Linked DNA regions of Oryza sativa Japonica Group. The protein of the gene in region 1 binds, or shares a complex with, the protein of each later gene. Links are inferred from orthologs where the notes say so. Each region holds a gene or a part of one and is shown on either strand. Other genes may lie near its edges. The genes, in order: structural maintenance of chromosomes protein 4 and condensin complex subunit 2.

Region 1 (4,395 bases):
AGTTCCAAACAGTGTTGGTGTTTACACTTTTGATATTGTAGGACCATTCTATGTATTACTAGCTTGTAAAGACGTTATTAAAGCCATTCTATGTATTATCTGTCTGCCTGGGCCGAACAGCCCATGCGCATCTCAACCAAAAAGAGAAGGAAAAAGTTCACTTGGTCACTCATCTTACCGTTAGGTTTCAAAATCGCCCATAAACTGGAATACCAATTATAATGTATCCCTAATATTTTAAAACCGGGTTACAATGGGTCTCATTGTCTCAAGACAATATTTAGAGCGGTTTGCTGACGTGGCGACTGAGTCAGTGTTGAACCCACATGTCATAAAAAAAATAATCACCGTCCCTCTCTTCCCTCCGCTCCTAATGTGATTCCATCACCGCAGTGCCCACGTCCGGGCCAGCCTCCGCCTCCGTGCCCACTGCCACAGCACTTGTCTCTACCTCCGCACCCACTATCTCTCATCTCGATGTCGCTCTAGTTCTGCGACGACGATGACTCGGGCGACGTCGACCTTGAGCCACTTTCCTGCTGCAATGTCACACCCCAAGCCGGAAGAGCCATTTGAGGTAGGGCTGCTGTCTCCAGCTACAATGGTGCTTCCCTGGTAGTGAGGTGGGATAACTTCTCTGAAGTCTTGCATACCTGGGCTCGGGTGAGGCCGCAGGTGTCGACGAGGTACTCCTTGACGGCGAATGGTTTGAGTGAGACGCGCGCAGTGGTGAGGGGAGACGATGGAGGGAGAAGGGCCGAAAAATTTCGACGAGAGGGAGAGGGGACACCCACCGTAGTAGTAGAGAAAGGATGTGTCTCCAGAGGTGAATTGTGGTGGCAGCGGTGCAAGGATCATAGCCGCGTGAAATCACAAGGCGTTGTGGTGTCAGTGGTAGGGAGCTCGCCGACGCATCAAGCCACCTCCGCACTGAGCTCCTTGCAGCCCCGTCAACTCACCGCACCTCTCCTGTTCGGCCATCGCCCACCACCAACCTCATGGAGGCTAGGAGAGAGATGTGAAAAGAGGCGGAGAGAGGTAGAAGAAGATTGGGCCACTGGCATGTGGGTTCCGTGCTGACTCAGCCGCCACATCAACTAAAATCATTATCAATACTGGCTTGGGACTTAATATGCCTCAGTTTTATAATATTAGGGATGTGCTATATCTGGTTTTCCAATTCATGGACAATTTCAAAACTCGATGACAAGAAGAGGAACCTGAAGTGAACTTTCTCCGAAGCAGAAGGCCGACCAGAAATCAGCCCAACATGAGCCCCATATAAGTTCGCACACGAAAGCAGCGCATCGCTCGTAATCCAGCCCAACTCCAGAGTCTTCCTTTTGGTCTGACACATTTGCTCGAAGCGGGAGGAAGAAAATCCTCTCGCCGTTTCAGTTTTCCCTCCCAAATTTTCGCCCAAAATTCCCAAATCCCACATTCCCCTCTCGGCCGCTTCGACTTTTCCCCAAAATCCCCCCACCGCCACCGCCTCCGCCTCCACCGCCGACGGCCCGAGATCTGCGCGCCTCCACCGCCGCGGCCTTCGTCGGGCCCGGAGCACCCGCGCCGCCCGGTCGCCGTCGCTCGGAGTTGCGCGCGCGCGGTCGCCGTCGTCCCGAGTTGCGCACCGCTTGGTCGCCTTTGTCCTCGAGCCGCCCCCCTTCAGCCGGTGCCGCCCTTGCTGGGCGAGTGATCTTCCGGCGGGCGGGCGGCGGCGGCGGCGGCTCTCGCGGTCCGGTCCTCCCTTGCTGCTGCGGTCAGGCATGGAGAGTTCCCCGCCGAGGTCACCCGCGCCCTCGCCAGGGAGGGCGGGGAGGCCGCGGCTGTTCATAAAGGAGATGGTCCTCCGCAACTTCAAGTCGTACGCAGGGGAGCAGCGCATCGGCCCTTTCCACAAGGTCTCGTTCTCTCTCTCACTCGCAAGCACACGACACGAGCGCGCAAGCTAGCTACAGTATATCTTAATTCGTCGCGCTCATAGTCATAGATGACGTATTCCCCCACTACCAATCCCCGGTTTTCGTTTGTTTTTGGCGCTATTCAGGACCCTCCAGCTGCAATGTCATGTGGTGGGCTTGCTTTTTTTACTTGACCTGTACGATCGTTGAACCCTAGGCACGGCAGTTGGATATAGCAATTTAACTTCAATTGTGATAGCGTAGGAGGTGACCACGTATACTTTCATTTGAGTTTTCCATTTCCCAGTGCCTACAGAATCCTAAATAAGTTAAAAACCGTGTTATAGCATTTTTAGGAATTCGTGTTATCTTCAGTGTGGCCGTTCTGCCTGGCCTCTAGTTTATGAAGTGAAATACCGATACGCGCATTGTTACTAGGTTCTGAACCTATGTGACGTTTTGTTTATTAGGTTCTGAATTTGTTGGTCTAGTTTTGGTCTCACGAATGTTAGATTAGAGTGGAGGTTTTTGAGTTGTGCACTGGTTTTACATTTGTTCTGAAACTTTAGAGTGGCATGGTCATACTCCATCAGTAGTATGTTTTGGGTTCACTTTGTTTTGTTTGGAGATATTTTATTATGAAGAGTAAGTCACATGGTTTAATGGCATTTGTTCTACCCAGAAATGGAGGTTCCTTATTCAGTTCTATGGCTTCTATCTGAATTTGCCCTTTCATACGTTGAAATTTCAGACCTAACTCTTTTATCCTCAGAATGTCGTTTCTGCAGTTTAACTTTCACTTGTTCTGTAGTACCTAAGATATAAGGAAAGCAACGTTTATCATAATTTTAAATTTTACTGATTTTCAAGTGCATCAATTTAAGTGGCCAAATGACTATGATTTGTGAGTAGTAACACATCTTACATTCCAGAAATGCCGTCTAACTTTATAATCGTGTTTTTATGGTGACCTGTGCAGAATTCACAATTCTTGTGTGTGTAACCATCGTGTTCTGTGCAGAATATCATTATAAACTGTTTATAGGTACTATCGATGAGTGCACTATGCTTCAAGCTCTTATGAACATAGGTCTACCACTCTGTCGCTAGGATCCATGCATCGTATAAAAGAATAACCGCTTTTTCTTGCTTTCAGAGTTTCTCAGCTGTTGTTGGGCCAAATGGCAGCGGGAAAAGCAATGTCATTGATGCGATGCTGTTTGTGTTTGGGAAGCGTGCAAAACAGGTGGGCAATATTGCTTCCTAACTGTAAATGTTTATTGATGTTCAACATTTTTCTGGTCAGCTCAGTGGCAGATTTAAGCTAATCATTGATTTATTCTATCTCAAAAAGTCATTGTATTTTTTTATCCATTCAGCGAGTGCTAGATGCCAAAGTTGGCATGTAAGTGTAAGTTATTCCCAATGTTTTTAAAGGCTGGGCAACAAACTGCTACTTTATGTTTGTTAGTGTGTTACTGATTTTGTATGCAAGGCGAAAAGTAAGCTTCAAAGTCTCTGCCCAAAGGTTTTTGAGAATTTAGTGTAATGGTACTTTCATGATAGTAAACTAGTTATTGAAGAGAAATGTATTTAATACTTGAATACAATGGGGCCCTTGTATTTCCTGTTTACTATTGCCCATTTCCTCCAAAGGTTTTTCCTTAAAAGTTTTGGATTAAATGCTATAAAATTCACGAATAACTTAAGCTCTTGAGAGATGATCTTGCTATTTGTTAGCTACTCCATATTTTCTTAATTCAGAACAACCTATTTAGGTTGTTTCAAATCATAGACTGTTTCTGACCAGTTTTCCATCATTGTAGATGCGCCTGAACAAGGTCTCAGAACTCATACACAATTCTTCTAACCACCAGAATCTAGACAGTGCTGGGGTCTCCGTCCATTTTCAAGAAATCATTGATTTGGTATTTCTTGAGCCAAGTATTTAGCATTTCATATTGCTTAGCTAGTGCCACATAATTTATTTCCCTCCCTCTATGTCCATCATAGGATGATGGGAACTACAGGGCTGTTGAGGGCAGTGATTTTATCATCACAAGAGTTGCTTTCCGTGACAACACTTCTAAATACTACATAAACGACCGTGGAAGCAATTTCACTGAAGTAACTAAACTGTTGAAGGGCAAAGGAGTTGACCTTGATAATAATCGCTTTTTGATCCTTCAGGTTTGTGTTTCTTTTTCCATTTACACATGAAAAATGCGCGTGTTTTGTAAGTTTAATTTTGGACATATGTTGCATATTATTTAGTATGTTTACATGACTATGAGGGATATAACAGACATCCATATGGTGTTATATTTTATGGTTTTGCACTGCATAACTTCCAAGTTGGGCACTTTCAGGGTGAGGTTGAACAAATCTCCCTGATGAAACCAAAATCTCAAGGTCCACATGATGAGGGGTTTCTAGAATATCTGGAAGACATCATTGGGACAAATCAGTATGTTGAGAAAATTGAAGAAGCTTC
Region 2 (2,511 bases), on another chromosome or scaffold:
GCCTGGGCAGGACCTGAGCATTGGAAATATCGAAAAGCTAAAGGTACTATGGGTACATAGTCCTGTTTTAGTTTTGTTTCAGGCAGGCTTGTTTAATCTAACCTTTGGGCTTACATTCAACTAGATTTGGACCCTGTCCCAACTAAACCTGATGATTCAGACGCCCCAAAAAAGACAAAGAAGAAAAGAGGCAAGGATGAACCTGACATTGATTTCAGCAAAGCATTGGAACATGATATGCCAAATATCTTTGCACCTCCTAAGAATTCAAAATCATTGCTGCTGCCGGCAAATAGGGCTACCAGCAATAACAAACTTCCAGAGGATTGCCATTATAGACCTGAAAGCCTTGTTAAATTATTCCTTCTTCCGGATGTTTTGGTAATGGCAATTTCTTATAATTTTTTTCTTGATATGGATCTGGGGTGGTTATAGTAACTATGGATCTTTTTGTAGTGTCTGGCTCGGAGAAGGAAAAAACCACTTGGTAAGTTTTCTATGTTCTTGCATTGTGTATTTCACATGAAGTTTTCTTGTTGCCTTGTTATTATATCTTGAAGTCCTGTTGTAAATTCTGAAGGTTCTTAAATTATTTATCACATCTTCCCTGTTCATATTACCTGTGTTACTTTCCTCCAGCTCCTTTTGGTATTTGATATATGGGTTAATTGGATTCATGCCATTGCAAATTTACCGTATTAGAAAAATACCACTACTATTCGTGATATCGGCTGAGTGCCATTATAATTTTGTAAAATTAGATCTATGCCATCACCGTTATATTTTCTGTCAGACTCTCCTTCCTTTCTTCTCCTCTCCTTTTTCTTCCTCTTCTTCCTCTACCTGCTCCTTCTTCTCCCTTCCACTGCTATTTCTGCCACTGCTCCTGCTCCTGCCCAGGACGTGGACAGCGACCACCACCAGCAGCAGCTCATCTTCCCCATCTCTCTCCACTGCTATTGCTACTGCTGCTGCTCCTCCCCAAGAGGCCAAGGCATGAGCGGTGACCACCACCAGCCGATATGACGAATAATAGTGGCATTTTTCTAATACAACAAATTTGTAATGGCATGGATCCAATTAACCCTTGATATATTGGTAAGTTCATATTGCTACTTAAATACTTAAACGAAACAATCTGTGAATCGTATGATGTTAGAGTATTATTATCTGAAACTGTGGAATGCAAATAAGTATAAAGTTCAGGACTGGGTTTATTTATAGAGAATGCTCTGCACAACTCCAAGAAAGGTGGTAATGTGATACTTATGTTGGCTATTAGGTAGCAAATTGACTTTCCCTTTTCAGAGAAGAACTTTACTATTCTCATACTAGATTATGTCTGTTTGCTAATGTGTGGCAAGTTGATGTATGTATGGACAGCCTTTGTTCTTGTTAATGCCTTTCTATTTATATAGAATTGTTTTCCTACATTTGTTAACCACAGAACACCTTTGTTCTCTAGTAGGTGGTTCAAGGGAGAATACTGATGACTTCATCCCATCTGAACCTTGGGATGGTGATGATTTTTGTAATGATCATGTCGATGAAGGAAATGGTGATACCGATGTAGAGGATGCAGTAGATCTTATTACCAAACCAAGACAGGTGCGCTCCTTTTTTCTTTTGCCTTCCCTTGTTAGACATTTTGGTTTTGTGTGCTTATATTGGAGTCTGGTTCTGTATTGATATTTCGATGGGCGCTCGTACAAAGTTGCAATTGACACCATTTGAAATACTAAAGCTGGTTAGATCTGAATGTAGTAACTAAAAAGCACTATAACATCAGAATAACTTTACACAAAAGAAATTGTGTAAACAGAATGCAGAGATAATAGCTACCTTTCTAGTTTTCTAGTTCTTGAACTAGACAGGTAGCTATATTTTGGGATGGAGGGAGTAATTAATTCAAGCTTTAACATTATGTATATTGATGTCTGTCCCATAAACTTTAATTTGTGGCCTCCTAGAAAGCAGAATCACATGCCCATCAATATATGTTAAATTTATGCCAAGTCAGTGCAGATTTAACTCTTATACTTTGGGTACTGAACAGTCCCTAGAGTTCTGTTATATTTTCTGTACGACAAATGGTGTTTTGACTCCCCTCCAAAAAAAAGGAGGGCGTTTTGACTTTTTGCAAATGTATAGGGTTTACATGCCTGATCTGGCTTGACATGAGTTGGCTGTTCGTAGTGGTGGACATCTATGCTGCTGATTTTTATGGCACAATAAATGTATCCAAACAAACGATAAAAGTGTATCTTGCAAATTTATTATGCATTTACACCTTACCTATACTCAGGAGCTTCTATTCTTGTGAGCTTAGAATTGCTGACCTTTCGACAGAGTGCTCTGCCAGAGGACTTACATGAAAAAACTAGTGATCTGAATAAATTATTGTAATGTGTTTGAGTTTTTAAGATGACCTTGTTTTTTTTTTAATGTTACTAACTTACTTGGCCTGGTAAAGTCTGAATTAATACCTGTTTCCTTCCTAAATCAAAGGTC

Evidence for each region.
Region 2: structural maintenance of chromosomes protein 4 (region 1) and condensin complex subunit 2 share a complex: the UniProt entries of both Arabidopsis thaliana proteins name them as parts of the condensin complex. The link is inferred for Oryza sativa Japonica Group from reciprocal best matches to the Arabidopsis thaliana genes SMC3 and EMB2795.

The regions. Positions count from the first base shown.
Region 1 is NC_089039.1:24,530,220-24,534,614, forward strand, and holds the start of structural maintenance of chromosomes protein 4, read left to right. Parts: upstream 1-1,430; 5' UTR 1,431-1,766; coding exon 1,767-1,901; intron 1,902-3,057; coding exon 3,058-3,147; intron 3,148-3,727; coding exon 3,728-3,829; intron 3,830-3,914; coding exon 3,915-4,091; intron 4,092-4,270; coding exon 4,271-4,395. UniProt on the Arabidopsis thaliana protein: Central component of the condensin complex, a complex required for conversion of interphase chromatin into mitotic-like condense chromosomes.
Region 2 is NC_089035.1:19,821,160-19,823,670, forward strand, and holds part of condensin complex subunit 2, read left to right. Parts: coding exon 1-43; intron 44-124; coding exon 125-381; intron 382-456; coding exon 457-487; intron 488-1,465; coding exon 1,466-1,608; intron 1,609-2,508; coding exon 2,509-2,511. UniProt on the Arabidopsis thaliana protein: Regulatory subunit of the condensin complex, a complex required for conversion of interphase chromatin into mitotic-like condense chromosomes.